Alligator mississippiensis: one gene and its partner. The main gene of each other region encodes a partner of the protein of the gene in region 2 in a complex. Links are inferred from orthologs where the notes say so. Each region holds a gene or a part of one and is shown on either strand. Other genes may lie near its edges. The genes, in order: KCNJ11 and ABCC8.

Region 1 (16,848 bases), about 170 kb from region 2:
GGGTGGTATCAACATATCAGTGTGAAACAGAGCAGTATTCATAATGAAATTCATTATTAGCATTCAATATTGTTAACAGCATGAGGTGGACAGTGATATTTAAATACTCTTGAGAATGTCTTCTGTGCTTTTAATAGTACTGCTTGGTCAAGAGTGTGTAGGTTTGTATCACGTATCTTTCTCCAGCAGTGACATCAAAAATAGTACAAAGCGTCATTTGCTACAGACAGTCAATGAAACATCCAACAAACATCTTGAATGTGCTTCTCATACTGTCACTGGACCCAGTACTGAAATGCCTTCTCAGTCTTTACTCCTCAAACAAAGTTCCCATTGATCTTAGTGGGAGCTTCACTTGAGTTATGTACTGGAGAACCGAGCCCTTTAGATTAAAAACCCTTTCACCACTGCCTTCAAAATAAATCTATATCTGACTGAGGTTAGAGAACTGGGGCAATCTTGGGCCAATCTGGAGCCCACTGAAGTCGATAGAAGTCTTTCTACCAACTCCAATGGGATTTAGATCAGGCCTGTTGTGCTTTTATATATTATGGGCATGACATGTTTTCCTTTCCAAAGGGAGCAATTGGATATGATTGAATACAGGTCAGAATGTGAGTCCAAAATGCACAGAACACCTAGTTTTGCAATTTGGAGTAAGTATAAATATAACTTTAGAGGTAGCAGGGAGAGAAATGCCATCCTTTTAATTTTTCTGTGGGTTATTCTCATGAAGTGCCTGTTATTTCCCTATGAATCCCCATGAAGCTCCTGTGGCTGTCATCACTCACTTCCAACTTCTACCTAACAGGTGGGGGTGGTGTGGGTGTTAAGGCGCATGGTTAGCAGCCCAGAAGTTGCAAATTTGAGGTCACAGCAAAAGTGCTCACAGCGTGGCCTGTCAGAGTCCAACAAATCTGCTAAATACCTGATCATAAGGACATGAAAAAAGGAAGAAACTTCTACCTAGTTGGCAATAAAACAAGATCTTAGTTTGGTTGCTCCCAACCCCATTGTGTTGGCTGCCAAGGGAAGATCCCTTGCATGAGGGAGCACCATAGGGGAATGATGGCCCTTCAGCTGAACAGCGGTCGCTTGGGGCCTGGTATCAGTTCAGTTTTCATTGCTAAAGATCCAGTTTTGATGGAGTCAGACATCTGCTAGTGCAACTGATTCCTCTACAAGGTATTCAAACTCTGACAGATTTTCAAAACAGCACTCACAAATGGTACCCAGGCATGCCCTTCTTCAGAAACGTCCTGACCCTATGCCTCCATTTTCATAGTATATGAATGCTTCAGTCCTGTGGTTATCTTCCTAACACCTCTGTGCTGTTACCTCTGTGTTACAGATGGGAAACAGTGACACGGGGCGCCTATACGTGTGCAGTGAAGCTTCTCTGCTGCAGTGTAATTACAGTGTTGGAGCAGACTCAATTAAGTGAGCCTGTTGGAGCGTGATAATTACTGTGCTCTAGCAGACTCCAGTATCAGCCTCCCTGCGCTGAAAAATGGTGGTGGGAGCACTATATCTAAAGCTTTAGTTAAAGTGCCCCTGTCGCCATTTTCAGTGTAGGGATCCTGATGCATGTGACACTGGGTGCTTTCATTGGAGTGGCTCTCTAATTAAAGCGCCCCCCCCCCCCCCCCCCGAGCACATGTATAAATGCCCTAAGAGACGGTGCCTACATAGGAATGAAACACATCAAAGGAGTAAACGTGCTGTAAGAGGTAAAAGAAGTAAAAGTGCTAATGCTGAACAAGCCAGTGTATTGACATAGCAAACTGCAGTGCAATGCAAAGATATTGGGTCAGATCCCAGAACCCTTAGAGCCTTGTCTAATTAGGACAGAAGGAATGCCACAGTGCTGGGGCTATGCTGCCTCTGGTTTGGGAACTTGCTTTGGTATCTCCAGTATTGCACTGCACGGCACCGTGCCATGTACATATATCCATGGAGACTGGAACCAAGCAAGTTAGCAACAGAAATGGGAACAGAATCAGAATTCCTATCCCACTTCAAGTATGCCCAACAGCTGCACCATGCTTTTTCCCACCATGGATTGCAAAAGGGACAGTACAAGGCAGTCAGCGCCCTTATTCTTGTCCCACTGATATTATCAGACCACTTTTATTATATGTGACAGCTGAAAGGTAGAACATCTGACAACTGTGATCACATTTCTGAACTCTGTGCAACTTAAGTTGCTTTTTTTTTGTAAACACACTCTCTGCTTTTTTTACAAATCAAGCCTGCTTTGCCAGCCGTTGTATAATAATTCATTGAGGGCTGTGCGCACATGTGTCAGTTGGTAAATAGGGGGGAAAGGGGAGCGCGAGACGGGGACGAAGAGGAGGGAAAAGCAAAAGAAAATAACTTGAACTGTCAGATTTTTAATTGTTAATTAGCAATATATTATTGACTATTAATAAACAGCCAATCATAAGACTCAGTTCCTCTAACTCCTTTCTAACAGGCCTCCCAGGAACACCTCTCTGTCACTTGTGTTGCATGCAGCACACAGCAGTATGCGTACTGGATGGATTGAGTAACTCTGATCGTATTACACCCAGCCAGCATTCTCTGGGTTGGCTTCTATAAAGGGCAGACAGATTCTGAATTGGTCTTGCTGATTTTATACAGCTGATTACTGTTCATGAGTCCCAGCTTTATTTATTTCTTAACCATCCCATCCATCTTTTAGGTATTCAGTCATCTCACCTTGGTGAAGCCTTTGCTGTAGGGGCTCCCAACACACAGAGTTCACTCCCCCTTTGCATCTGTCTTAACCCATGCCTTCTTTTTCTCTATAAGAAGCATTTTAAAATGTAATAGGTTACGGCTGCTCCTTTCCCCCACTCCCAATGTGTAGCCTCCTGTGTTTACCCGTTTTTAATATATTTTTACAGGTAATGTCTCATATTGACATTTACTGTATTTTCTAATAATATATTGTATGAATTGTCCATTTGTGCTTTGTAGCAGGGGTAAAAGGACCAAATTGGTCCCTATATCACTATCTCTTATTTAAGCACAATGTCCTTTAATTTAATTGATCAGTTTAATGTTCAAACTGATGGCCTAGTTGGGACCATTATTCTAATTGACAGTGGCTAAAAATATTTCAAAACGATGACAGAGGACTTGGCTGTCCTTCAAATCATGTTTATTATTAACCAGATTCGCTTAATTTTTTCTTATTGCCCATCTGTTAACTGGAATCTTTCCTATCCCTTCATTGCTCTAATAAGTAAACAGCCAAGTCATGGTATTGGGATTTTTTACATAAATACTGTTTGCGGGTCAGATCACGAGTTAAACAGGATTACTTGTGTGTGCAGGAGTTGCTCATGTATATAAATGTTTGCAAAACATGTAACTTCCTTTCATCATTCAGATGGCATAGCTTACTAATATTGGCAAGTTTAGTGCACTAAGAACATAGTCTTCTCCTAATGCTGTAAAAAATGTGTCCCTTCAGATTATCACCTGGGGCTACCCCCATGAATAGCTTATTTGAAAGGGACCCTAGGAGAAAAAATTCAAATGCATCACTCATGCTGGACTACTGCCATAGAAGAAAAATCATCTTGCCTCATGGTGAAATAAAGGATTTTTAATAAATAAAGAATAATAGCACTAACCTGCTATCTGGAAAGCTTGTTAAGGAAAAGTTGCTTGTTTAGTGTTAAGTGTAAATTCACAGACAATTCTGGATTTAGGGTATTATCAAATATTTTGTAAACAACTTGATGGCAAGAAAATAAAACAGTCTTTGCAAATGTTTTCTGTCCCCAGTCACTTTGAAACTTTCTGCTTTTGTTGCTTTATGATGCCCCAATATACAGTGATATGTTTCAAACCATTAAAGCACAAAATAATTTAAATGAAAAAGAAACAAAAAAGAATTCCCATTAACAGACTTGCAAAGGTTTTGATTAAATTAATTGCCCACGGAAACCTTTATTGTGAGATTCTTCTCTTTTTATATTCCTGGGGATCCTTTTCTTTGCTGTCTCTTACCCTCACATTGCTGGTTATTCAGGTGCTTTCTGCAGTGATGACATAAAAGAAAGTCCTTAAGGCAGTTCAGCTCCCCACCTTTCTGTCTTTCAGAGTACAAAGAAAATGCAGGTTATTTCTGTGGTACCAACTTCCTTGAGGAAACAAGAGGTTTGAATCTGTTTCTGAATAGAAGGTTTATTTGGCTAGTAGTCTTCCTGAAATTGCTTCTCATATAGGTCAAAACTTAAAAAAAATGTTAGAAGAACAACAGTCTCCAAGCATTTTCTGTCAATAAACATTTGTAAGTATTTATGTACCGAAATAAGGCACTATATAGACAGAAAATAATACAGGGACTCTTCAGGTCATTTGAAACTTCCCTGTGTGATATTTCATCTATGCATCTTTTAGTGATATGACAGCAGAACAGTGACAGTTGGTAAGGCGGATGTAGAAACTTCAAAGGGTTATTATATACATATGCTTTTCACGCATACCCATGAGAAACAGATCTACCGTAAATAATCTCCAAGTGAAGACTGACAGAGATGCAGTAATAGAGAGGGAGGGAAAATGATGGTGCAGTTAAACTGAATTTCACAAAAAGACTTTAATAATTAGAACAAATTTTACCATTTCCTAATAGAGCTTTTTTTCCCTTTACCAAGCTTTACATTTTAATTTTCAATTTTCCCTTGCAAATTACATATTAATGCTGTTGAACTCCAATTTTTCAAGCCTGTTATGTCTTCTCACTGTGAAACGCCTACCACACTTTAAGTGCACTTCAAAATAATATTAATAGTGGGCGTGTCTACACATACATTAATGCGCCTTTTCTAATGCACATTATATTTTGTACCTCCAATGTAAGCTACTAAATTAATGAGCATTAGGCTGCGCTAATGTGCAGTAGTGCATTTGCATGCTTTTTTAGTGATGCTTAATGCACAGTAGACTATTTTACTGCACATTAACATAATGTCATGGTTTTTTATACGACGCTTTAATCTGTAATATGCAGTAAAATAGTCTACCACGCATTAAAGCACATGTGTAGATGCGCCCATTAGGTTACGACTTTGGAAACTTGGACACATATTAACATGTTTCTAAGTATTCGTTTAGCTGGCTGTCTGGATAGCATAAGTGCAAGCCTTACTTAACCTGTGAGATTTATAGCTATTAATGATAAAAATAATGTTTCTAATGTACTGAGATTTTTATTATCGAAATTATTTCATTTTATCACAAATTCTTATTTAGTAAGTATGCAACTCTTTTCCTTTTTTTTCTTCTTTACTATTGCATGCATTTGTGCTTTGTTATACTGAAAAGTTGTGTAAAAACTGGCCACAAGACAAACTGTTTTCAAAAGAATATTGCGATAATTTTGTAAGATGCAAGGAATTCCCATACAGAGATTCGTTAAAGAGAACAATGCAACCTCACACAGAGGCCTGTGATACAGTACCATCTCATCTTTTGTGTCACCAAGACCAGTCTGCCATCTCTATTGATGCCTTATTCAGACAACATCTTCTTTGATTTCAATGGCAGTCTGCAGTGCTTATCAAGAATATGTTATAAGGATGTTATCAGGCCCCTATCGTACAAGCCCTCCACACAGAAAACTGCCATTGTTCTTAATGGGAACTCTCCAGGTGGAAGATTTGCTGGATCAGGTTAACAGGGACTGCTAAAAAAGAAAACTTAGTGAATTAATGGTGTGTTTTTTTTCATTGTATGCCTGATCTTGCATTCGGAGCACAATCAAAATCAAAGGGAGCAGGTGGAATTCGAAGTTGTGCAAAAATTAATTCATGATCAGGCCCTAAATGAAAAGGGTGCAGTCTTCACAACAATGGTATGTGCTGTGATCTGACATCCCGGAAGTAGGCTGCATTATCCTATACATCCCGCCCTTGCCTCAGAACAAAATGCTCTTGAATCATTCTTAAAACTAAAACTAAATTAAAATAAAATTAAGGGGTCTTGCTAATTGCAGGCAAATACCATTTGATATAATTTGCATCTGCTATTTCACCGTAAAAAGTATCCCGGTTGTAGCCATATTGGTCTAGAGAAAAAAGCAATCGGTACTCGTGGTAGAGATATCTTTTATTAGACCAACAAGATGTTTGCAAAAAAATTTATTTAATTGAAAACTGCCTGATGAAGGGTGTTTGTGCCTGAAAGCCTGCAAGTAAAGACAGTTCTCTGCAAACATCTTGTTGGTCTAATAAAACATATCATATCTACCATGAGTCCTGACTGCTTTTTTCATTGCAAAACACTTTCTAGGTAAGGTCTTTGATAAAATTTATACTCCCTTGTTATCTGATTGAAATCATTGGGGGATGAATTCTCACAGGTGCCCTAGCATGTTGTGGCTGGGCTTTTTGTTTGTTTGCAATCGATGAAGGTATTTTTCTTTTCCATAATTAATTTCAGTTACATAACATCAATTAATATCTGTTCTGCTTTGTAAAGACAAACCCTTTTAGAAACCATAGGTGCATCACTCGCTATCAGAAATAGAGATAACATATCCTCTTTTGAGGCACTGTAGAAGAGTTTGAAAAGATACAAAAATACGTATACAAATGACTCTCCTACTGCACTTGCAGTCAATGGATCCAGACAGTACAATATGGTCTAAATTAAATCTGTAAGTTTATTTCTGCAAGACAAAGTACCATGACTTATACAGGCACCTTCATATCCAGACTTATCTTTCTCATAAAAATTACTGCCTGACCTTTTTTATTATTATTATTTAAGTTCTGATTTGAGATTAATAATAATAACTGTTAAAGGCTTTTTCTGCATCATGATAATGTTTCTATTCAGAAAAGCAGTTAAAAACTACTGTCTGGATGACAGACATTGCAAAGCCCTAAATATTGCAACCTCCCAGGGCACATATGAAGTTACTTTTCAAGGGAAGGTCTGATTCCCATGTGGATGACTCAGTCCAAAAATGATCATGCAAATAAATGCAAGAGTCAGGATTTTTAAATTAAAACAGCAGATTAACATTTTCACCCCTCCAAGGCTGCTTTAAATCTCTCACACCTTTACAAATAATAACAGAATACAATTGTCCTGCAATAAATAACACAACACATACCTTGTGCTACCAACCGGAATAAGAAAAAATAGAGGCAGTCTCAAGAGTTGGTGCTTATTGCATGTTTTGGACACAGCCCCACCAGAGTTTCCTCTACCACGTGTGTCAGGAAGGCTCATCAGAGATGGTAAATTTGGGCTTTAACCTGACAGTTCGCTTCCTAATGGTGCCTTTAGGCGACTGTAACATGGTGTCTATGATGCTTCTGTTTTCCTCCAGCTCCCGGGCCGTGCAAGAAGGGGTGGGCACTTTCACCGTGTTGCCAAACTTGGAGTAGTCCACAGAGTATCGCCCATCTTCCTCGGCCACAACGGGCACGAACCTCTGGCCCCAGAGGATCTCGTCGGCCAGGTAAGAGGTGCGGGCTTGGGTGGTGATGCCCGTGGTCTCCACCACCCCTTCCAAGATGACGATGACTTCCAGGTCCTCCTGGTGGTTGAGGTGGAGAGGGGAGATGTCGTAGAGGGGGCTGTTCTGGTCGATGACATGGCAGACGATGAGTGGCGCCACCAGGAAGATGCTGTTGCCCCCCACCGGGTTCTCCATCTGGATGTCGATCTGGTGGAGGGGCACCACCTCGCCCTCCAAGCTGGTGGTCTTCTTCACCACCTGCATGCGGATGGTGGCGCTGATGATCATGCTCTTGCGCAGGTCGCCCACCCGCAGCATGAAGCAGAGCTTGCCCTCCCGCAGGGCGATCACGGCGTGCTTGCTGAAGATGAGGGTCTCGGCCCGGCGGTGGGCCTGCGCCGTCTTCATGAAGATGCAGCCCAGCATGATGGCGTTGATGACCAGGCCCACGATGTTCTGCACGATCAGCACCAGGATAGCGGCCGGGCACTCCTCGGTCACCATGCGCCCGCCGAACCCGATGGTCACCTGCACCTCGATGGAGAAGAGGAAGGCGGAGGTGAAGGACTGGATGCTGGTCACACAGGGCACGAAGCCCCCGGGGTCCCCGCCCCGCTCCACCTGGGTGCTGTGGTCCAGGTCACCGTGGGCGAAGGCGATGAGCCACCAGCCCATGCCGAAGAGCAGCCAGGTGCACAGGAAGGACATGGTGAAGATGAGCAGCGTGTGCGGCCACTTGAGGTCCACCAGCGTGGTGAAGACGTCCTGCAGGAAGCGGCCCTGCTCGCGGATGTTCTTGTGGGCCACGTTGCAGGCACCGTTCTTGCCCACGAAGCGGGCCCGCCGCTCCCGGGCGCGGTAGCGGGCGTGATCCGGCACATCCTCGGCCAGGCGGGTCAGCACGTACTCCTCGGGGATGATCCCCTTCCTGGACAGCATGGCTCCGCCGCGCCCGGCTCCGGCCGCCGGCTACCGCCTACCGGCGCCAGTCACCGGGCTGCAGGCGATGCCCCGCTGCCGCGGCCCAGCCCGGCCCGGCCCGGCCCCGCGCGGCGCGGCGCGGCGCGGTCCCCCCGCACGCCTCTGCCTCCCCCGGGCACCGCCGCCCGCCCCGCCCTGCCCCGCCCCCGCCCCCGGCCAGCGCCAGGCTGCGGACACCCGCCTCCGGCTGCGCGGGGGGGCCGCGACATCCCGCCACCTGCGCCCGCCCTGCCGGGTCCCCGTCTGCGGTGGGGGCACGTGCACGCCGGGGCGCCTGTACACATACCCAGCACACAGCGACTGACATGTAGCATTCGCCCCCCCACGCGTGTGTGTACTGGATCTGTCTGTTTCTATATATAGATCTAGATACCTGTATAGAGATAGCTAGATATGTCATCATTGCATCTATCTATCTATCTATCTATCTATCTATCTATCTATCTATCTATCTATCTATCTATCTATCTATCTAAACAGACGGACAGATAGATAGATAGATAGATGGATAGATGCACTGGGTAGAGGGGGAATTTAGATATACCTATCATATGTCAAATGATATATATCATTCCCCCCAAGTGTGTTTGTATTATATCTATCTCTTTATCTCTATATCTATATATATATCTCTACATATCTATATAGAGATATATAGATAGATATGCCATCGTATCTATCTATCTATCTATCTATCTATCTATCTATCTATCTAGACCTAGCTAGATAAATAGACACATGCATGGGGGGGGGGGCAAATTTATATATACCTATCATATATCAAATGATATATATCATTTGCACCCCCCCAAAGTGTGTTTGTATTATACCTATCTATATATATCTATATAACTATAGATAGCTAGATAGATGCAATGACGGCATATCTATCTATCTATCTATCTGTCCATCATGGACAGACAGATAGATGGATGCAATGGACAGACAGATAGATAGATGCAAGGACGGCACATCTATCTATCTATCTATCTATCTATCTATCTATCTATCTATCTATCGTTACATAGACCTAGATAGATAGATAGATAGATAGATAGATAGATAGATAGATATCTATAATAGGTATACACATGCACTTTGGGGAGGGGCAAATTTATATATATCTATCATATATCAAATGATATATATCATTTCCCTCCCAAAGTGTGTGTGTATTATCCCTATTGATCTATCTAGACCTATATAGATAGAAAGATATGTAGACAGATAGATATAGAGATAGATACGTACACACATATGTTTATATATGTGTATCTATGTATACACACTTATATGTATAAGTGCATACACACAGACACATATATAATAGTGCAGTGCAGCTGGGATAGACTTAGACATGTTTTTGAATGCAGTCTGAGTGCATACATACAGACTAGACGATAGCTATATTTATCTATTGTATGTACGTATATGTGTGTGTGTGTGTGTGTGTGCACGTGCGTGCGTGACAGGTTTCTGCGAGACAGCCATAAAGATGCTGCAGTGGAAGCACCCAGAAAGGAGGGGCTGGTACTGTGTGTGCCGCTGCACTGGGAAAGCCTCCTTCTGTTGGGCTCAGACTTCCCCCTTCGCCCCCCTTAGACTGTTTTCCTTACATGTCTTTTTTTTCTTATATTCGTATGCTTCTCATGCCCTTTGTTTTCTTCTTATGCTCTGCTCTCTGCACTTGCTTTCACAGTATCTGGTGATGGGAGATCACACACATATTGGGGAGCAAATATATATGGTCCAGATAGACTTAGACATGCTTTTGAATGCAGTTCATTCTTTAATTAATATATATGAATTACTATATTGAATTAATATATGTTAATATACGAATATTAAGAATGAACTGCATTCAAGAGCATGCCTAAGTCTATCTGGGCCATGTAGCTGGTCCAGTAAAAGATATAACCCACAGAAATCCTTACCTTTTTGTAAATAAATAATTTTTTTACAAGCAAGAGTTGGTGAGTCTTCCCAGGTCTGTCTTTCTGGTCCAGTTTTTTCCTTTTTGTAAGTAAGTTCATATCCAGGGGAAGTAACATGGATCTAGGCAAAGGTCACTTGGCTAATTCATTTATGCTGTTTTAGGCAATTTTGAGATATTGTGATTCATTCTGTTCCAAATACATGCATTTGTCACATATGGCCCTGCTTGCAATGCAAATAAAACAATATTGATCTTTTAAATGTATTACTTAAATTTTTTTTTTAGTTGAATGTGGATTAGGCTACAGAAAGCCATCATTTCTGGCTCCCGATCCACGTCAGAGATGTTTGGTTATCACTTAGATATCCAAGGGGTGCTGGGATCTTAGTTCCATGTATAATTACATTACATTTCATTGATTTATCTTGTTTTGTTAGTGGCATGGAAAGCATTTAGGCAATAGATGTACTTCTGCTATTTATTTTATATTAAGATTATTTTCTTTGTCTTGTTCTTTGCATTTATGAAAAAGCATGCAAGATAGATACTGTGGTGTTTTTTGTTTTTTTTCCAAAGAAACCTTTTATAAAAGAATTCAGGGAAGCTCCACAGAGCTCAAGTAGCAGGAAATGATACATTTAAGTATCAAATAGTTCAACCAGATACTAAAGGATAGAAACTTTCCTTGGGAAGGCTGCAATCAGCAAAGCATTAATACATGCTTAATTTTAAGCTTGGGACAGAATATTGAAACCCCATTAATTACATTTTTAGAAGTATTTATCTCTGAACATTATCTCTAGCTTAAAGTTGCAGCAAAGTACATTTAGATTGGATATCTGGAAAAATGTATTTCCTGTGAAAATAGTGAGGCAGTGGAATAGAGTGCCTAGGGAAGCTGTGGACTCCCCATGACTGGACGTGTTCAAGAAGAGGTTGGACAGCCACTGATCAGGGATTATCAAGTTGTAGCTATGCCTCTTTTCTGCCATAGATATTTCCTATGCTTCTGGGCTTTGCTGGTTGCTCCTGCCCCGCTCCCTTTTTTCTGTTATGCATTAGGGGTTTTTTTAGCTTCCACAGAGGCATTGGGTGCTGGCTAGTTAAGGCTGGAGACTTCAGTTGAGGTGTGCTGATTCTCCTGCTAGGAGCAAAGCCCAGAGGTTCCTGGCTAGAGGGTCTTGCCCCTTTGCTCAAGGTCAGACTGCTCACCATATTTGGGGTCAGGAAGAAATACTACCCCATGGTCAGATTGGGATGGGCTTGTGGGGGGTTTTGCCTTCCTCTGTAGTGGGGTGTGTGGCCCTCTACCCAGGACCTCTTGTTCCCCTGCTTCACCCGTGGCAGGTTAGGGTGTTAGGTCTATGTTGTGTCCGGGTTGAGGTTAGTCTTATGTAGAGTTTAGATTATGGTTATACGGGATGGTTTGGATAGGGATGATCCTGCTTCAGGCAGAGGGTTTGACTAGATGACCTTTGGAGGTCCCTTCCAGCCCTACTTCTCTAACTATAAAGACCCACATACACAGTAGATTCATAAAACCCAATAAGATGGTGGTTTTTATTTAAAGCAAGGAGCCAGCATACTGAGGCAAGGCACATGAATGCAAGTAATTGTTAGGTTTGATGCAGTAGGAAGGAAACTAAGGAGTGACTCAAGTGCATATACTTAACCTAGCATGATCTGAGCTTCCAGAGGTCTGTGAGAACTGCCAAAGGCGATGCAAAGAAGAGGGAAACCAGAGCTGCTGTGTGGATTCTCTATATGTATTTACATATCCCAAACCAACGCAACCTGCTTTATTTAAGACCAGACTTGGGAATTATTTTTCCAGAGTGTTCAGCATGTGGAGTCAGCTATATTTCATTTAAAGGGATGTTGCCCGTTCATTTAAACTGAAAACTTTGATTAGATACTTTCAGTTTATATTGTTTTGTATGGGTTTAGACTCATACAAATCAGTGAAGTAATTGAACTAGGGTTTACCAGCCTGTCCTGCACCGAAAATTTATCTTCTGAATTAAATTTAAAGAGTTGTCATAACTATGGCAGAGCAAGTGGTATGCCAGCCCAAGATGCCAGTTTAAATTTCTTTAGATAGACGGCCCTTGGAGACCTGGCAGAGCATCAGCAGCATCCAGAGCAGGTAGACCCCATCTACCACTCTCTGGCATCTCTGCCCACGGTGCCAAAATTGCTAGTTATGCCTCTCATCCACACTAAAGCAGTTTTTTTCTCCCTGAAAAAATAAGAGGCTGGAGGTTTGCAGGGATCATGTATCTCTCTCAAATCACTCCTCAGCTTTGGAGCTTTAATTACTTTGTCATAATATCTAAGTGGTTATTGGCACTGATTTACTAGACAATGTCTTACTGCCATGAGGAAGTTTAATAGTTTCATAGATGTTGGGTGCTGGATGGGACCTTACAGATCATCAGGTTCAGCCCCCCTGCACTTGGGCAGGAAAGACTGCTGGGATCAGATAACCCCAGCAAGATAGGCATCAAGATGTTTTTTGAAGATTGCGAGGGTTGTGACTGTACCATCTCTGGTGGGAACCTGTTCCAAACCCTCTGCACTTGACTTATAAAGAAGTTTTTCCTTATGTCTAGCCTGAAGCGATCTTCAATTAGTTTGTGCCCATTATTTCTTGTCCTCCCCTGGGGGGCCTCGGTGAATAGTTGTTTCCCCAGGTCCTGATTAGCGGGTGAGAGCTTGCCAGTGTTGGAAGTTGAAATTAAGTAGGCAGCTTCCACATCTATTAGAACAAATATTTCTGATTGTGTACTTTGACCACTCTAGCAAAATAATTCTAGATCCCACAGTTAAATTCTGTCTTGCTTCTTTCTTTATATATGTAGGTACTTTATAGATGTAAACAGTTAATATATAAGCAAATTTGTTAGGGATATACAGATTCCAGATATGTTTTTGGATATATTGACTCATTGGGAGGTTTCCTGTATTTTCTATATCTCTTTCTCATATTCTGGGCTGTCGTTCTTAACTCTGATATAAAAAAGTGAACATAAGATGTGCCAGTGCCAAACTATGTCAGACCAATAGTCCATTTAGCCCAGAATCCTGTCTCTAAGTGGCAGAAGTGGATGCTGTATACTATAGGGAGGGCACTGAACCAGGTATCTCTGGAGTGATATATCCCTGTTCAATGCCCTCTCTGATATTCACCATTTATTGTTTTAGAAATGCCCAGGGAAACGTCTTCAACTGTTCTGTTCAAAATACCTCTTAATCTGATACCATGGGTTTTAATCTGAGCCAGAAGTGTGTGTGTTGGGGTTTTTCCCCCTTCCCATTTACTTTATTTCTCTTGTGGATATTTTGGGTGCTTATTGGATTGCCATATTTATATGGCAGATGGAAACCTGATTTGTGAAGACTCCATATGTATATCACCTACACACACCTACACCTACTCCATACGTACATCACCTACACACACCTACACCTACTCCATACGTACATCCCCTACACACCTACATCTACACATAGCTACATCACCTACATACATCACCTACATACATTCATAGGTTCATAGATGTTAGGGTATATTTCACATTTAAAAAAGGATTGTTTTGTGTCCTTTTCTAAACTTTTTTTTTTTTTTTTTAATCAGCTACTTGGTAGGGCTGTGCGAAGCTTCAGTGCTGATTTGATTTGAAGGAGATTCGACCCGATTTGGTGGCCGAATCTCTGAATTGAATCAGGGGACTGAATCAATTCAATAGGTCCAAATCAAGACAAAGCTCTCTGAATGGATTCGGAAAAGATTCAGAGAGCTTTGGCAATTTGGGCAGTCCTCACCGGCTGCAGCAGGGAGCTGGACCCAGACTCCATGCTGGTAAGTAGGGGGTGGGGAAAGGGAGGGGACCATGGGGGGACCCCTCCCAGGCCCCATCCCCTGCTTGCTCCCCCAGCCCTCCCAAACCCCCCTCCACTCTCCCAGCACCCCCATGGCTGCCCTGCTCACCCCAGCTCCTGGCCCTTTAAAAAAAACAACAAACCCCCCCCTGAACTCACCACTGCTGCAGCGGCCTCAGGGCTTCTGGAGGCTCGTGGAAGAGCCCCCCATGCAGTATGGGGCAGTGGGGATCGCCCCCCGCCTGGCAGCAGCCTGTAAGTGTGGGCTTTTTTTTCCCAAAGAGCCGCTGGTGGGGCAGCAATTGAGAGTGGGCAGGGGATGGGGCCTATGTGATTTGGAGATTCGGCTGATTCGGCAGCAGCCAAATCTCTGAATCAGATTCGGCCGAATCGATTTGAATCACCGAATCGAATCGCTGTTCCCTGAATCAGCTGAATCCAAATCTGAAGCAAATACTAGCCGCTTTGCACAGGGCTACTAATTGGGCTAACTCATTTGAAGGCTCATGCACTGGGACATGGTTCCCTACCTCACTACCTCTTATGCAGTTGCTTACATTTTTGCAAAATGGATATAAAGCACAGAACACTATTTGCTTGGTATCATTTTATATTTTGCACAGGGGGAAATAATATAGTGAGGCCCACTGTTAAAAACCAAAATGAAAAAAAGCTTCTTTAATTCTGTATTTTGCCCTCCAGAGGGCAGTGATTACATTTACTTGAAAAGGGAACAAATAGCTTTTGTAACATTGTTCTAAGAAAAAATAGTGTCAGGAGGGAGGCATCCCACTAGTGAACTAGTTTTATGGTTTGGGAGTGAGAGTCAGCAGTGGAACCTTACATAGGAAATCATGTAGCATGAGCTGAATTATCCAGGAAGGGCCTGCATTTTCAGATCCCTCAGTACTGGAGAGTGTTTCGCTACCCTTCTCTCCTTGTTTTGTGCATGTCACTCACCAATTTATCTCATCTTCCCCCATCTCAGCTGTTTGGTGACTGGGCACACAACTGTCCAACTGCAGGAAACAAATAGCTTCTGATGAGCGTTTAAACGAAGCAAAGAGGAATACTGTTTCTATGGAGCCAGAAATGGGTACTCAATCGGGGAGTGGGGCAAGAGCGGCCATTCTGTACAAGCCAACTTATTTTGGGTTAGGGTTGTAGAACAAATAAAGGTCATGGGAAGAACCTCTCACTTTACAGTTTAGCAAGTGGATTATGGCGTGATAATAGGCCTTTTTCCTTCACTACACTTGTATATACTTTCCCCATTGTTTCTCTTGCTGAATCATTTCTTATGGGAAGCAGGGTTTTATTATAACGGCATAATAAATATCCAGGTAACAGTGAAATATTCCTGTTTACTTTGCACTTAGATCAACCAAGAACCACTAAGTGCTATACAGATACTGATTAAATCTTGCAACTCCCCTGAGGAGACCATGTATTATGAATACAGTATCACAGATGGGTGGACAACTCATGAAGAGAGCTGAAGTGATTTGCCCCAAGTTGCACAGCAAGTGATTAGCAGAGGAAGGGTAGAAATAGAATCTAAGTAATTAGTCATATTTCCTGACATCAGCGGAGCCAGGATTTTAACCAAGTAGTCCTGACTTCTCTTGTTAAATGTCCTAAAGTGATTCAGAGCCACTGATAATTTTCTAAATGCTCATATTTATCATAGCAGAAGCGTTTTCAGCTTGTAGCAGTAATGGAAGAAATCCTGACTGTGCAGCTAGCAGGCACAGAGGCCAGCAACAGCTTCACAATCCAGCCCAATGCCTTCAGAGAATAATAGGATTCCTTTGCAGTAGCTGTTGCAGCTTCTGACCATCTCTGCTGAAGTGCAGCATCCTTCTAGCTCAGTGAAGCCCCGATCCCAAGCAAAGTAACTTATCTTTGGGAGTGTATATTCTGCTGTTTCATGCAACAGTGGGGTCCCTCCTGAACCATGACTTCTTTTGCCGTAAAACACAAATGATGGCTATAGTTGTATAGTTTTGTTTTGTTTTGTTTTTTTACACTTGCCAGTGAGTTTCATGGAGGAGGATATTTTCCGGTACTCATTTCCCCCCTCTCCATGTGCGGTTATCGTTGACAGAACTGAGTAATTTTAGTCATGTAATAATTTATCTCCTCATTTTCGCTGTTCTTAACACTACACTCTTCCATTGGTTGTAAAGCCTCTCAATTCACAAATAGTGTACAAATAGTAAAAAGCTGATGCTGCAAAATAGAGGAATTTGTAATGCAACAAAATATATCCTTGGCTTTTCTGCACTGTGGCAAGTAGAAAAGAATAATTAGTGCATGAAAATGCTCCATTTTAACTTTGAAAGGAATGGTAAGAGAAAACAAAGGATATTGAAAATGACAACTTAGTGCATTATTTCAACTGGATTTCCCCAGGCATGCTTGAATGAAAAAGGGCATAAAAGCAGAAGGCTGATTTCCCAAAATCTCTGAACTTCCTAAAATGTAAGAAAATGGCATAACTCTCTCTTCTAAGGTAGATGAACAACTGACACCATTGTCCAAATAATACCAGGTCCTC
Region 2 (17,023 bases):
GAGGAAAACCCACTGAAGCTGTACTATTCCACATTTTGAGTGCAGCCTGCTCTGTTATACGTAGTTAACTAGTTCTGTTGTCTTGCACCTAGATGGGTGGAACCATAATCCCCCTTCTCTCCTCTCAAAAATGGACAAAGCACCCCCTGTACTAACTGGAAAGAAAGGATCACAATTTTGCCCAGCACTTATCTGAGCTGCAAAGAGAATGGACACACATGAAGAGACAACTATATAGACCAACTTGGAACAGGGGGGTTTTGTGAAGACTGCTTTTCTGACTGGAAAAGACAGTAGGCAATTGATACAATTGTGCTGTTTGATGACCCTCAACTCCAACTGGGCGTAATAAGACTTGTCTGTATATTAATAGAGAAACCCAAACTTTTGGTCAACAGATTTTCCAGCAGGGAAAATCTTAGGGATCACATCTTTTGCATAGGTTTCAACAGTAGTGTTCTTCAGACTGATAGTCTTATCTGCTCTAACATGAACTGAGTCCGTGATACTTATCTGTAAGTAAACAGAAACATTAAGTTGCTGGAATACCAAGTTAAAAGCATATCTCAGAACCGTCTTTGCAACACAATAGCCTCTGCCTATTCCTGGGTGCAAAACCCTTTGACAGTCTACTGCTGTCAAGAGGACGTGTTAATAGTATGACTTGTTTTGCCTTAGGAAGCAGATGAGGGTCTTCACTACAGGAACAAAAGTTTGTTTTTATTCAGAGGACCACATGCTAGTCTGCTGAGTGCTTCAGAGACACAACTCTATAGCTAGGAGCTTTGATTCTTGTTAGGTAGCACTTAGTACCCAACAGCAGTTCTCTGGGTCAACTTAAGCAGTACATGACTGGGAGGACTTTTCTTCAGCTACACAGAGTCAAAAAGCCCCAGGCTGAATCAATTCAATCTTTGTACGTTTGTCTAAACTGCATAGATTGAACCAATAAGCAAGTGAAAAGACAAGAACTTTTGATTCTAGAAATACAGCCAAATGCCTGCAGTGGCCCTTGCCAGAAGCTGGTGGGGGCAGAGGTGGGGGTGCTAGAGTGTGCCTCCCTCCTCTGCTGGAGTAGATAGCTTGGGCCAAAGCTAGCCTGCCCACCCTGTGAGGAGGGAGGGGGTTGAGGGAAGGTGCAAAGCATCCTGGGATGTTGGGGGACTGTGAGTTCACTTGAATCTGGAAGGATCCCAGGACAGAAGTTCAATAAGCTGATTTAACCTAAATCAGTTAAGTCTGATGCTACATCCATTCAGGTTTATCTTAAACTAGTTTCAGCCATTTTGAAAGTGGCTTATGTGCACTGAACTTCTATTGTATTACAGATTTCAACTGGTTTTCTATCACTTATACTGATGTATGTGTAATTTCTGTCCCTAGCCTTCAAGACAAACCATAACTTCGAAGGAGACAGCAATCTGGCCCCCTACCAGTTCCCCAACTCCACAGTGAAAAACTAAAACCACTATTTGACAAACTCTTTCTAAAATGGTCTTTTAGGTATTGAGAGATTTCCTACCTAATATTTAGTTTTCAGAGGACATAATAATAAATGTGGTCATGTGACCTTCTATCCAAGAACCTTGGTGTTTTACAAATGTTAGGAAAGTATTTTTATCCTTATTATACAGATGGGTATAACTGATTCAGAGATACAGTTCTGTTTAATATGGCAAAGGCTATACAATCCATTACATATAATGTGAAATACAATCACACCTCCTTAAAATAATGAAAAACACTATCAGTCATCATTCCACACCTCTAACTTTTGTTAACATACTTTCATGGATCATATGACTTGCTTCAATTACAACAGTTTCTCCCATATTTTATTATTCAAGTTTAAAGATATATACAGCTGATGCGCCAGGTGAAAGTAATGTTAGAATTAAGAAAGAATAATCATGTTAATATAACGGTCTATTTCTAACTTCAAATTTAATCCTCTTTTCTATGAGAGGATAAATTTGATATCAATTGGAGCAGAAGCAGGTTCTGTCTGCTTTCATTCAGTTTTGGGTTGGAGTGTTGCAGCAGCCATGATGATCCAGGAAAGATGGGGGAGACCTGTCTTCTTGCTTCTTGCAGCTACACAATTGGTCCAATAAGAAGTAATCAGTGAAAAACCTTTGCTTCTCGCATTCATTCTATCTAGGCTTTTACATTGATGGGGGTCAGATCCTGTTTTCTATAGTACTGTGAGTAGCTCCATGAAGACAATGGGATGGAGTCTCTCCTCAGGCACACTCATGCTACATAAGGGGCACATACACACAAGACATTTACTGCAGAACTGTCTAATTAGCTCTGAAGTAAAACCTCTCTGCATCTACATGTGCACCCCTATTACAGCACACAAGACTATGGTAATACAAGTACTAGCCTGCCTCGGTGTTTTTTCATGTGCAGCAGTACACATGTAGACATTGCCCAGGTGGTTGGGGCAGAAGGGTACTTCAGGGCAGGGGCTGCCTGCCAGTTAGCCCCACAATGAAGCACCCTCATGCCCCAGCCAGCCCCTCCACAGCACATTGAGCCCAGTCAAAACAAGCATGGGCTGCTGCCAGCCAGGGCTGCTCTAACCAGGCTCAGTGTGCTGCACAGAAATAAACTCCAGAACAATAAGCTCTGAAGTTTATTCATGCACACTAACTGCATGTGTAGACACGCCCACTCTGTTGAAGTCTATTACAGTGTAAAACCTGTGTGAGAAGGGGTCCAAGAGGCCAACTTCTTTTGTTAAGGGAAGTACAATTTGGCTCATGGAGGAACACTGATAATATCATGGGGAGTTTGCTGATAATATCATGGGGAGTAAGGACTGAGATCAGGCCCTTAGATATATATAAAAATATGTCATTAAAATGTCATCATCTGCTTGAATTGTCAGGATTTATCTACAATTTTTCTTTGGAATGATAATGTCATTAAGCTGAACTAAAAATGATTAAGGCCATTTGTGTGTGTGTGTGTGCATACTTGGCAAGGTCTATGGAATTTCTGATACAAGGTCTGTAGGTTAATCACCAAGAATACAGATTACATGCTTATTCCAAGCCAAATGATTTAGACGAAAATTTAGACAGGGAGTTAGTACTTATATTGAAACCCTTTAAAAATAGTTGGTGTTATCAAGAGAAGCTATGCATCCACTTACCCATCTGACACTATGCCCTCTGCTATTTCACACACCAGCACAAACAAAAGGATGAAAGTCAAGATCCAACGTAAATTGTGGCCAGGAAAATGCAGCCATGTGCTATGATGTATATGAACTTTGGAACTCTGACTTCCCCATCCTAAATGTAAAAGCAGAATCATCATGAGGATTTTTAATACACCCACAAACCCCTTTCATAAAACATTCTAAACTGAACATACTGACCACTCTGCTTTTAAAGGTAGTATAAGTGAATTGGAGAATGTTAGAAATATGTATCGTCAAAATGTGACACTAGGAATGACGTTATAATTTCTGTGCACTTCCAAGAATTAGAGTGGTTGTAGAAATCATACGAGAGAACTTAAGCATACAAGTTTTAAAGGAAAAAAAATCTGAGTCACATATTTATGCCCTGCTTTGCTACATATTAATAACTTCACTCATATGGGTAAACCCACTCCAATTAATAAGAGTACTTATGCATGTTTAAGTGATTGCTTAACTGTGCACTTATTGTATAATTACTAACTTACAAAGTATAAGCAATAAGACAGACAGAATATACAACACAAGTCTCCGGTACAGACTTAATAACCTGTTTCCAAATAATTACATACATTAAACCTTTTTAACTAAGCTATTAAAATTCATTATTTTTACTAATACTGTGTGATAAAACCTGTGCAATTTACATTCCTCAATTTAACTTTAAAAAAGTATGTTTCTTAAAGTAATCAAACACTTAAGACTTCTTAACTCAAATAAATATCATCTGTTACTTTGAAACTCCCATTCTTTAAATCATGCCAGGGCTGTCTGGACTAACACAGACGAAGGACTAAGAACACTGCAGAAAGCCATGGGTAGAAGAGAGACTATGCAGCACTTACTTCCCCTAGAGAACTCTTCAAATTACTCTCTGTTTTGAACGTTAATTCTGTTTTTCTAATGCTGGAACTTTCATGATCGAAGGACAAGGGTGTAGAAAAATTACAGGGTTATTGTGTGTTATCCAAAAACTAAACTACCAAACTCCTTTAACCTGAAATTTACACAGAATCAGGACTCCAAGTTTGAGAAGTAAAGTACAAATGTATTCAACTACTGGACCATATAGTGCAGGGGCGGACAATTATTTTGGGCAGAGGGCCGCTTACTGACTTTGGCAAGCCATCGAGGGCCGCATGACAGGCAGCCGGGGGCAGATAAATATTAGTTTATCCGGCCCCCGGGCTGCATTTTGCCCACCCCGATACATGGCATCTCCAGTGCCACGTACACCTCAGGGCCAGGCCAACATTGTTTACTTGCAATAAAAATGCCGGTATGATTTAAACAAAGCATGTTTCTGTTCACTTGTCAGACTTCCTTAACTTTAAGAGTAAATGTGTTTGAGTTTTATTTCCTTTACCTGACAAAGTCAATAAAGCAAACCCCCTCATCCTCTTAGTTTTTATTCAGTTCTCACAATACACATTTTCACATGGACTTCAAGAGCAGCTTTACCTGCCCAAGGACTGCAGAACGTGTCTTTCCCTGTTATTTCATCAAGATTCTTTATCCTATGAAAAGCTAAGCTACTTGGGTAATGGCAACATTTATGTTTTAGCAAGTAGTGTTAATAACCCAACAGCAGGGTGAGAGCAGCTTCGATAGGTTCAAGCATCCATAGCTCTGCATCAGGATCTGAACTTAACATTTTAGCATGGCATGGTTAAGCAGGATGCCTTGGGCTTCTCTGGTGCCTGGGAAGCAGGTTGCTAACTCATGAATGTGTCTTATTACTAATAACCCTTTGAGGGCTGCCTACATACTAAACAAGGATAATAGAATCATAGAAAACAAGGGTTGGAAGGGACCTCAGGAGGTCATCTAGTCCAACCCCTACTCAGAGCAGGACCAACCCCAAATAGATCATCCCAGCCAAGGCTTTGTCTACCCGGGTCTTAAAAACCTCCAAGGGGGCAGGTCTACACAAGAGGAGTAGACTTATTAGCTCTGCAGTAAACATTTTGGCATCTAGACTGTAGGGCTATTAGACTGGTATAAACTAATAAACTCCACAGCAGGTAATACAAGTATTATCCTAGGGCAAAGTTTTTCACTCTGCAGCAGCACACGTGCAGATGCTGACAGGGCTGAATGGGGTGCGCGAGTGTACATGTGGTGCCTGGGAGCAATAAACTGTGGTGTGATAAGCCCGTGAGTTTATTGCTCTGCATCAATATGCACGTGTAGATGTGCCCCAGATGAAGACTCTATAACCTCTCTGGGTAGCCTGTTCCAGTGCTTTACTATCTTCCTAGTGAAAAAATTTGTCCTAATATCTACCCTAGAACATGAACCCAGTCAGCAGGAACACAAGAAGGGGTGAAATCTCACAGCCGGGCCCCCAAAGTCAAAGGCAAGGGAGCTTGATTTCTGCTTGCAATAGAGAAGAGAGGCGGATCCCAGGTGCTCCGGCAGCTTTCCTCTGCGAAGGAAGCCGGGACGGACTCGTCCTCCAGGCCGCTGTCCTGCTAGGTCAGGAGCGCGGGGTGGGGGGGGGCGCCGGGAAACCAGGTCAGGCTTCTGCAGATGCCTCCCCCGCCCCAAGCCAGCTGCGCGCTGCATTCCAGCTGTGCGCGCGGGGATCCAGAGGCAGGGATCCCGCGGGGGGGAGGGGGGCGCCCCACTCACCGATGAAGAGGATGGGGAAGGTGATGAAGAGCAGGAAGACGTGCGGCACCACGTTGAGGGCATCCACGAAGCAGCCGTTGTTGAGCACCCCGTTGTCCACGTTGTAGGCAGCCGAGTTGTTCTCGTTGCCGCAGAAAGCCAAGGCCATGGCGCGAGGGCGTCGGGGACGGGAGGGGGGCGACGGGTCCCCAGCCCTAGCCAGGGCGCATCCCGCGCAGCCCGCCCGGCAGGAGGCGGAGGGGGGCGATGCCGCGGCGGCTCCGGGGAGGCTGCCCAAGCCCCAGCGCCGCTGCTAGGCGGGGAGCGCCGGCAGCCGCGGGCTGCAGCCTAGGGCCACATCTGCTAGCAGCATCGCGCCTTCGTCCTGCCCGGGCCGCCCGCCTTAAAGGAGCCGCCTGCCCCCCCGCCCGCGTAACGGGCAGGGCGACGCCTCCCCACCCCCGCCTCTAGGGCAGGCCTGGGCGGCGTGTGCGTGTGCAAACCCGGGAGCGTGGGTGCGTGTGTAAAAACTTTGCCGGGTGGGGGGACCTGGTGAGTGTGTGTATGCAAAAACCTGGGGAGCGTGGGTCTGTGTGTGTGTGGGGGGGGGGACACACCATGTGTGTGGATGGAACTTGTGTGTGTAAAAATGTTGGGAGTGTGTGTGTGGATGTAAAAACCTGGCGAGTGTGTGTGCAGGCATGTGTTGTGTGTGTACAAACCTGGGGAGCATGTGTGTGTAAAAACCTAGGGGGTGTAAAAACCTGAGGAGCATGTGTGTGGGGATGAAGCATGTGTGTAAAAATGTCAGGAGTGTGTGTGTGTAAAAACCTGGGGAGCATGTATGTGTGGATGGAGCATGTGTGTAAAAATGTCAGGAGTGTGTGTGTGTAAAAACCTGGGGAGTGTGTGTGTGCATGTGTTGTGTGCAGAGACAACCGTGGCAGGGTGTGGGACCCTGGGCAAATCAGCCTGTGTGGCCTGGCGGGGAGACTGGGGGCTAGGTGGCGAGTGGCTGGATGTGAAGCTGGCCCAGCTCCGTGGGGCTCCCGGAAGCATGGGGCCCAGAGCAGTCGCCCCAATTCATTCCCTTGCTAGGGACAGCCCTGGTTGTGTGTGTGTAAACATGGGGAGCATGTGTGTGTGTGTGTGTGTATTTGTGTGGAGCATGTATGTGGATGGAGTGTGTGTATAAAAATGTCAGGAGTGTGTGTGCATAAAAACCTGGTATGTGTGTGCATGTATCATATGTGTATAAAAGCCTGGGGAGCATGTATGTGTGCACATGGAGCATGTGCGTACGGAGCATGTGCATACGGAGCGTATGTGTGTGTCAAAACATGGGGAGCACGTCTTCTGTTGCAAAGAACACAGAAGGGTTGCAGCAGGTCCGAATGGTTTTGATACTGCGGACTCCTGTTTGAAACCTCTGGGTTTTTCCTATGAATTGTGCAAAGGTCTTTGCACCCCTAGCAGTGCTAATATTTGTGAGAGATCCTGCCACACCCTTCTAAGGATCTTACAGCATCACCGGGTGCTAGGGCTCTCTGGTTGAGAATCACTGCATGAGTGAATTGAGGGACATGCCTATCATCCTCTTCCCAGATCTCTCCCATCATCTCCGCAGGCAGCTGTACCAGTACACCTAACTGTCTGTATACAATCAAATGTTCGGATCCTTGGGACCACGCTGACAAGAATCTGGTGAGGTGACTGTGCTGAATTCTACCCAGACAGACGGTGCTTTGAAAGTTTGCTTGGGTTTCCATTTGCTACGAGGTGGATGTCACTATGACATTTGTTTCAAGACAGCCTGACACTGAACCAGGTTCCCAGATGTGGAAAGTGAATGTGTGATTAATTCACCACCATACCTCTACAGTGATGCCGGCTAAACAGTCATTTAGCAGTTTGTAGGGTGTATAGGGTTCAGAATGTGATATCATGGAGTCTCCTCCTGAAACTCATGGGATATTCATTTCTTAATTCACTCTCACTCCCAAAAGATCCCACCACTTTCAGTTGTCAGCACATAGGTAAGGAAATGAAGTGTGAAAGGTCAATTTTGCCAGTTTTTAACACAGTTTAAACAATGGAGGTGTTTTTTTTTTTAATTATTTGTCGTAAAGGCAGACAAGGTTCCTTGGGTAGATGTGATATCTTTTATTAGACCGACTGAGTAGTTGGAACAAAGCTCTTGGCAAGCTTTTGGGCACAGGTACCCTTCTTCAGGCATAGGAAGACTCTGCTGTTCTGAGATCTCCAGGGAATGAAAGAAGCTAAAAGTGTGACAGGAGGTCAGTGAGAGTGTAAATAGGTAGAAATTAGGAAAACGATGGGTAGAGAAGGGAGAGGAGGGGACAGAATGAGGGGGGAAACATGGGTGAAGGAATGCCAAAGGTAAGCAAGGGAGACTCTACTGTAGTAATGAGTTCTCCCAGGTAGAAAGGAGGGAGTCTGAGAAAAAGTAAATAGCTGGAAATTAGGGATAGAGAAGGAGGGGAAGTGAGAAACGGGGGCTGGCAGGGGCGGGGAATGAAAATGATAACTTCAGGCAGGTACCTGGTGAATCAGATGTCAGGCAGGTTGTAATGTGTCATAAATCCAATGTCTATATTGAGTCCATGATTTTTTGTATCCAGTAGATTTATGATGTGAAGTTTCTAGGTTCATCTATGGAAGGTGTTTTGTAAGTTCCTTTTGAGGATTAGAACTGAAAGGTCAGACAGGGAGTGATTGTCTTGTGAGAAATGTGCCCCCACAGGTAATGGGATATTTTTGTCTTTGATAGATTTCTGGTGTGCATTCATTCTGGTGCTCAGTTGTTGTTTCGTCTCTCCTATGTATTTTCCATCAGGACATTTGGTGCACTGGATGAGATATATTACATTTCTGGAGGTGCAGCTGTAAGATCCAGGAATGATGATGGTTCTGTTGTGAGGCGTAGTTATTGTGGGGGTGGTGGAGATACGTTGTCAGGTTTAGCATTTCTTGTCCTGGCATGGTCTGGATCCACTTAGTGTGGCTTGAGTCATAGGGAGTTTGCTTCTGGTGATGAGGTTAGTGAGGTTTGGTGCTTGTTTAAATACTAAGGTGGGTGGTGCTGGAAAGATCTCTTTAAGAAATGGGTCTTTTTTTAGTATGGGTTGCAATTGCTTGAGGATTTTCCATATAGATTCCAGGGAAAGGTGATATCTCATAACTAATGGTGTGCGATTTGTGGGGATTTTCTTTTTGTACTGCAGCAAATCTTCACATGGTATCTGAGTGGCTGTTTCAAAAGAACGATCTCTCTTGAGGAGTGTGTCCTTGTTGGGTGAAGGCCCTTTTGAGATTTGTGATGTGGCAGTTATGGGTTATTTGTCATAAAAGGTTTTATAAAATGAATTTTTAAGAAAGAAAATGTTTTTGTGAAGCCTAAGTTGGAGTGTTCAGAGCTGCTTAGGGGGTTTGGATGCTCACTTCCCATTTAAAATGGGCATCTAAACATCCCCATGGGCTTTGAAAAGTGTTGCCTAATATCCTTCGTTTATTACTAAGGATTCTTCTAGTCTGCTAATCCCTTTCATTCCTGACATGGAGAGATTCTTTCTAAAGACAGGAGATTTCAGAAACAAAAGGGTTTGTTCTTCATTGCCTTAGTACCTAATATAATCATTTACACCTATGTAAAGTGCCCGTAAAATATTGCCAAATCAAAATGAGAGAAATCAGTACCCTTATATTGACTCTAAAAGGGACATGAGAAAGAGACAGAACACTCAAACTGACATCAACCATTTCTGAGTGACCGGTTGACTTGGGCCTAGTTTTTTTAGCATTTTATATGGTATAAGCAAGATAATTTTGTTTCTTAATTTTCTCTAATAAACAAGGACTACGTAAGTAATGCCAGGAGACCTATGGGACTATAATTGACTACCATCTCACCAGGGTTGAGTTTTTCTCTCTATTAGCTGGAGGACATTATTAGATTAAATCTTGTAAACAGCTGCACCCTGCCCTCAGTGCAGATTTCTAACTAAGTGTAATCCTATCCTAAATGGGCGTTATTCAATTTACTTCCTCAGCTACTCTTGCCTGTAATGAATCCAGATGAAAGTTAATTTCTTCACCTAAGGCTTCATTTGAAGCCCACTGAAGTCAACTGGAGTCTTACCATTAACTTCAATGGACTTTGGGGGTTAGCCTTAGGTAAGTATTAAATGCCAACACACTTGACAAAATTCAGTCCAAAACTCAACAGTGGGTGTGCCGACAGATACTTTATTGCACATTAGACTAATCTAATGCACAGTAAAGCATCACTGACTATGCGTGCAGCAGTTACTATGCACTAGGTTAGTCTATTGTGCCATTTTTTAGCACCCGTAGATACAGGTACTAGAAATAGGGGCATTAAACTCATGTGCCAAAATACATGTGTAGACACTGACTGGAAGCAAATTGTTCCTGGTCAGCCTAGGCAGCAGGGGACCACAGGGAGCAGGGAGAGCTGTCCCAGTTAGGTGGGATGCTGCCTCCCAGCCACATGGAGATTGGGACCCGTCCCGATCTCCACGTGGCTGGGAGAGCTGTCCCAGCTCCCAGGCAGGTGCCTCCCAGCCACATGGATATTGGGACCCATCCAGAACTCTGCAGGGCTGGGAGAGCTGTCCCAGCTACTGAGCAGCTGCCTTCCAGCCACATGGAAATCCCCATGCAGATCAGGGCTGCTCCCAGAGCTGGAACAGCTATGGGCTGGCACCCAGGGGAGCCTGGACTCCCCCTGGCTGCTGCAGGGGGGGGCAGAGCAGGGCAGAAGCAGCCCTGGACTGGCCTGTTCCTATTGGGCACAATTTGCTCCTGACGTGGATGCATGTGTAAATATACATCCAGGAATGCTTTAATGAGCCTGAAATTTCTGTGGAGAAAATTTGGCACATTAATTGCAGATGTATATGCACCCAGTTTGGCTTAGTAGAGACACACTAAAATCCTGGGTTAAAGACCCCTCTATCAGAAGTTAGGTACTAGAACTGAACCATGACTTACAGCTGAAGCTGACAGCTTGTCCCTATTTTCCAAACAAAACCTTAGATACAAACATCCCTGAACAACAGCATCACAGAATCACAGAAAGGCTAGCAGGGACATCAGGAGGTCATCTAGTCCAACCCCCTGCTCAAGACAAGATCATCTCTTATTAAACCATCCTAGTCAACTATTTATCTAACCCGATTTTAAAACGATTCAAGGATGGAGATTCCACAACTTCTCTGAGTAGCCTATTCCCCTGCTGCAGTTTGAGACCACTGTGCCCAGTCCTGTCCCCTGTGGCCACAGAGAATAGTCTATCTCAATCCTTTTTATAATCACCCTCCATAGTAGAGAGATGTTCAAAATTCAGATTCTGAACTCGACATTTCATCTTATAGCTTTCTACTAGATCCCAAGCCAGTGTTTATGCAAGCAGTTAATGCAGATTGTTGTTCTTTAAAAGCTGGGGGGAAAAAAAGCAAATACAGCCATATGTACTTTGGCTTAGATTTTGTATGTTAAAGTACAACCATTACAAGGTGCACTTTGTCCCCTAAATCTTTGCCATTAAGCCTTTTTGCAAATGAGACCCATAAATGAAAAATCCTATGTACTTAACAAAGAGAGAGCAGCTGCTTGATCTCTCCGTTGAGGGATCATGCGCTGAATGCTCAGGGTAATAGATAAGAACAGGACGGATCTGAGTTCTGGGATGGACAATGCCATTAATAGACATGAAAGCTTCTGTACTCGCATTTTGTTCTTTTTTATTGATCATCTTCCAAGATGGGAGGAACGAGAAAGCATCTCTCTCTTTGTGAATGCCTAGCACTCTTTCTTTTTCATGGTTCTTTTGGACCCCTTTTTGGACAAAGTTCTCTTGAACAAAAACTTCTTTATGGTCAGTGAGTGGAAGACTCTGTTGGTTATATTTAGAAGGATAAAAGCCAAGCCAAATTGAGCATTTTTATTTATTTTCCAATCCTAAAAGTCTGTCTGTCTATACATATACAAAACATTTAAAAATGCAATAATTAATTAAGTTCTGGATCCAACCCAGGATTCAGTTCTGAGTTTCTGGTTTTCCCTTATCTTTGCTTAAAATATATCCTGGTGGTGTGCAAACAACAAGTTACACTTATAATTATTATTTTTTTGGATGCCCCTAGTGACAGTGGAGGTCTTACTGTAAACCAGTGGGGGCCAACCTCTTTGGCAGGCATGCCACAAATTAGCCCTGCACATCCCTGAGTGCCTCTCTAGTTCCTTTCCCCTACTTGATCTGCTGGTCTGCTTTCTGCTTCCTGCCCTGTGCTGATGATCTGCTTTCTGCTCCCTGCCCTATCTGCCATTGTGCTGCCTGTTCCCTCCCCAGTTTGCCATATGCCACACATAGAGACTCCCTGTGTCATTTGTGGCATTCATGCCGCAAGTTGGCCAGCCTTGTTGTAAACCGTGTTGTATGTATGGACAGACAAAGAAAGAGAGATGGAAGAGACAAAATGCAGGGAAAGAAAGTGGAATAATCTTCAGTTTACAATGGAGAACTAAAGCACATATAGGCTGCATACAGATGTTGAAAAAAAACCCAAAACACTTTAGTGGAAGAAGCAGCACATTAGTTAAACCTGGCTCGGCAACATCTGTATAGTTCAGGCACTTCAGCAGGTTTTTTTGGTGCTTTTATCTAAAAGCTGATTCAATCAGCTACTAGATAAAAACACCAAAAAGCTCCTCTAAAACACTTGATCTATACAAGCGTTGGGTGAGCCAGGTCCAACTAATGCAGTGCTTCTTCTGTTCATGCACTGGGCTCGACGGGGGAGTGCAATGAGTTTCAGGTAAAACACCTTTTTTTTTTAAAATGTCTATAAGCAGCCCTAGTGATAGAGTGATCTATAGGGAGATTGGAAACTAAACTATGACTTGAATCTGTTTTTAGTCTCTGAAGCACAAGACTATTGTCAGAATCTAGAGATGAAAATCCTTTCAATTAAGATGATTTTGTGAAATGTCTATGCCTCAAAATCTAAATGCATGGGGGAAATGGATGTCTCAGGGAACTGGGAATTAAATGTGGACACTCTAATTGGTTTTGAATCATTAGTTTATTCACATACCTTTTTGAAGTTAACAGTCTCAATTCAGGTCCTATTGGGCGCACCTACATGTGCATTAATGCACTTTTCCTAATGTGCATCAAATTTAGTACCTCCACTGTGAGGTACTAAATTGATACACATTAGGTTGCTCTAATGCACAGTAGCACCCACACATACTTTTTAGGTGACACAATGTTCAGTAGCCTATTTTATTGTGCATAGGGTAAAACCCATTGTTTTACATGCTGCTTTAATGCGCAGTAAAATAGGCTACTGCTCATTAAAGTGCATGTGTAGACACACCCAGTAAGTAGGAGTCCATACCTCACAGAACTACAAGCTTAATTAGCAATATGTTTTAGACTCCGAGGCCATGTCTACATGAGTGGCAGACTGTGCAGTTGTTACTGGTGTTACTGCACAGTTCTGTCACCACACATTTTTTTTCTGATGCTACTACACAGTAGCAATGAGCTACTGTGCAGTATTGTTGCCACACAGTTAGTGCCTGGCAACACTACTGAACGGTGGCAACAAGCTACTGTGCGGTAGCTCATTGCTACTGCGCAGTAGTGTCTCATGTAGACAAACCCAGAAGGACCCAGGATTAAACAGTCAGAGACCATGACCTACAAACCCAATAAGGAATATTGGCAGAAAACCTGGGAGAAGCTGTTGTTACTGCTACCCAGGATGTACCTGCTTCTCGGATATATAGAAGATTTCTGTCTGGTATTGTCAGGCTGATAACTTTTACAAGCATTGCAGCTACATCTTTCTTCTACCATCATTGTTACTAGGCACATCTACAGGTGCTATTAATTCTATAAAGTCTTACTGCATAGTAAGCCTTTCCTGGGAGCATGTCTACACATGCTCCCTGTGGGCACATCTACATGTTCACTAATACGCCTTTGCTACAGTGCATTGTTTAGAACCTCTAATATGAGGAACTAGATAAAGGTGCAGTAACCAATGTGCAGTAGCAAAGGCAAACTTTTTTTGTGATTTACAGGTAGTAGCTAACTGTGCAGTAGACTAATTTACTGTGCAATAAATGGTGTGTACGTGTAGATGGTGATGCTTTACTGTGAGATTAGTCACACCCATATAGACACACCCAGTGGATACTTAACCAGGATTAAATTAAGGGAAGCGATTAGTGAAGACATGTGGACTGAAGAGCTCAGAGACTTGAATATGGAAAGGACTATTTTCTTTAATTGGAAGGCACAAAGAATTTGCACTCCAAGAGAAGAAAAAAATTGTACAGAATGGGCTCAGACCTACTAAGATGAATAACTTCATCAAAAAGGATATAAGCTCTAAACAGGGAGCCTACAAGGGATAGCAAAAGATGCACAAAGAAAGTTGCAGTTAGAGGGCAGAAAAGGTAGGAATAAAATGAGAATCACCAAAAGTCAAATTAAGTTTGCAAAGGAAATTAAAACTAATAATAAATGATTCTTCAGCCTTGTAAATAAAAATGAATGACTGGAGAATTCCTAAATGTTGTTCTTATATCTAAGGTTACAGATCAAAACAATTGAAACCAGTTGGCTTACCAATGATTTATGGATAAACTGTTGCAATATAGATGAAATGTTGGACCATGCAGATAACACCAAGAGTGCTTCTCTGCATGTTTTTCGAGGAAGAACATTAAAAAAGAACATTTAAACAAAGAGTGAATACATTTACAAACTTCTTAAAGCTTTCATTTTTTTAGCAACATGACTATAATTTTGTCCAAGTGTATCATCACTGAATCCAACGGACAACAGACAGAAGTTTGTACTAAGGGCTTGGACGGACAACACAGCAATTACACCTGACTAAAAAAAAGTAGTAAACAGACAATCAAACCCCTATAATGGGTTAGCTTTTTCCAATCTATTGCAAAATTACCCCTGAAGGAATCAACAGTAAAACTCTGATTTTTCAATTTATACTGGTTTAGGCATTGTCTGTCCACTTTTACCTGGGGGCAGCCATTTGCTGAAGGTGAAATAGACTATAACTTGTTCTCTTGTTGCCAGTTGTGAGGTGCAGTACTAACCATTTATTATGTAAGCTACCCTGGAAATAGCTATATGGCTGTCCCTGCCTGATTCTGGGGTAGGGTATACATTCCTCTGTCCTTACTCTTAAGTGTTTTTCTTGCATAAGGTATTCTTCTTTTCACTTACAAATAGTTACAGGTTCTTATGTCTTTTACATTTACCAGGTATCATTAATGGATGTTACATCAGTGTATTAGGAAAAGACAGACAACTGTGGACCAAATTTTGAATTTTTTACCCACAATAGTGATCAATTATAGCAAGCCACTGAACAGGGTCCAGTTCTCATGGGTTACATCAACTGAACTTTGGAGTGTTCTCCTGCTCATGCAGTAGCTATTGCTTAATTTTTCTCCAAAATTTACAGAGCATCATTCTCCCTATTTAATGTGATTATACCTCCAGTGTTCAGGAAATTGTACATGTGAGCACTGTCCTTTGCACTGCTATTGTAGCAAGCCTAATGCTGGACTTAGGCAGCAATCAACACATCTGATAACCTAAAATAATTTTTGCTTGCTAAGAAGTGCTGTGGATGCTGTTCCGCTGTTTAAACAGGAATTCCAAACAGGTAACATGACATTTTAATATGCGAAAAATAATTTCTGTACCTAACTTGGGAGTCAGGTAGGAAGTAAGATGTAAACAGCTAATGGGGTTAACAGCACAAGAACGACATTTCAGCCTTTAAAGCCTGATAGCTGGGTTTGTTTCCAACACATCAGAAAGTATGATCATTTAAATGAAAGAGCTCATAGTTCTTGCCTTTGTCATTCTCTGTCATCCTTCATTTGTCACTCTAACTCAGATACAGGAGTGTACACCATCACTTGTACGCTGTCACTTCTCTGCTTTTTCTCAGCACTGCTAAAAAGCAGAAGGTGTCTCTGTATAAAATCAAACATCAAAAGACAGAGGTACATTTATATAAATCATTGTTCAGGCTTCACCTTTTATCTGGTGTAAAGATGCATAATTAGGAACAAGAGTCTGAATCTGAATTTTTCAAAAGTGCAGAGCAGCCACACAGCTCACATTTACACAAAATTAGGTGGCTTCTATAGGCATCTAGATTTAGGCATCCAAGATGGAAAACTTTGGATGTGAGTTTTAAGAACACACTCTTCCTAGGACCAGATCTGAAGAAGAAGTTATAATCAATAGGATCGGCCATTGCTAAAAATCCATTTCTCTGTACTGGGTTAGAGCAGGTTTGATAAATAGGACATAGGAGGTTTGATGTATGATATTGTGTCTGAAATAGCAGAGGACTGGGCTGTGACCCAAAATGTCCCTTCCAGTTTTATGCCCTATATTCCTTATGTGAGAGATTTTCATGAAGCAGAGATGCATCATACCCATGGTTAAATTACAACAATCCTGGAGCAAAACAGGAAAGCCAAGGTTGCAACTGAACTCCGACTAGCTTCGAATATCAAGGACAATAAAAAGTCTTTTTTCAGATATGTGGGGAGCTGGAGGAAAAGCAAGGGCAACATTGGACCCCTGCTAAACCAGGTGGGACAACTGACAACTGACGCCCAGAAAAAAGCCAGCCTATTAAATGGGTACTTTGTGTTGGTCTTCCATCAGTCCCATGGGACGCCCGTGCCCACTATGGGACAGGGAGGTACGGGCGAGAGAGATTCCCTGACCTCCATCAATGCTGAAATCATGAAGGAACACCTCGAGAGGCTGGATACCTTCAAGTCAGCCGGCCCTGACAATCTACACCCCAGGGTATTCAAGGAGCTGGCGAGCATCATAGCTCAGCCTCTGGCACAGATCTTTGAGAACTCCTGGCTCTCTGGTGTAGTGCCCGAAGACTGGAAGAAGGCCAAAGTGGTGCCTATCTTCAAGAAAGGAAGAAAAGTGGATCCAGCAAACTATAGGCCCATCAGCCTGACCTCTATCCTGGGAAAGGTCTTAGAAAAGTTTATGAAAGAGGCCATCCTTAATGGACTGGCCGACACCAACATCCTGAGGGATAGCCAGCACAGGTTTGTTGCAGG

Evidence for each region.
Region 1: the proteins of ABCC8 (region 2) and KCNJ11 are in contact, whole or in part, in a cryo-EM structure (PDB 7S60), measured with the Homo sapiens proteins. The link is inferred for Alligator mississippiensis from reciprocal best matches to the Homo sapiens genes ABCC8 and KCNJ11. Residues at the interface, in NP_000343.2 of Homo sapiens: Phe5, Ser12, Ala13, Tyr15, Arg16, Val17, Val21, Asn24, Cys26, Phe27, Ala30, Val33, Val34, Val37, Phe41, Phe44, Ile46, Phe48, Ile49, Gly50, Trp51, Gly52, Ser53, Ser55, Lys57, Val58, His59, Ile60, His61, His62; in NP_000516.3 of Homo sapiens: Val44, Ala45, His46, Lys47, Asn48, Ile49, Arg50, Gln52, Gly53, Leu56, Val59, Thr62, Leu63, Lys67, His70, Leu73, Ile74, Met77, Cys81, Leu84, Leu85, Met88, Trp91, Leu92, Phe95, Ala96, His97, Gly98, Leu100, Ala101.

The regions. Positions count from the first base shown.
Region 1 is NC_081825.1:192,685,797-192,702,644, reverse strand, and holds KCNJ11 (ATP-sensitive inward rectifier potassium channel 11), read right to left. Parts: upstream 8,514-16,848; 5' UTR 8,429-8,513; coding exon 7,244-8,428; 3' UTR 3,602-7,243; downstream 1-3,601. UniProt on the Homo sapiens protein: Inward rectifier potassium channel that forms the pore of ATP-sensitive potassium channels (KATP), regulating potassium permeability as a function of cytoplasmic ATP and ADP concentrations in many different cells.
Region 2 is NC_081825.1:192,518,317-192,535,339, reverse strand, and holds the start of ABCC8 (ATP-binding cassette sub-family C member 8), read right to left. Parts: upstream 6,209-17,023; 5' UTR 5,997-6,208; coding exon 5,849-5,996; intron 3,306-5,848; coding exon 3,164-3,305; intron 1-3,163. UniProt on the Homo sapiens protein: Regulator subunit of pancreatic ATP-sensitive potassium channel (KATP), playing a major role in the regulation of insulin release.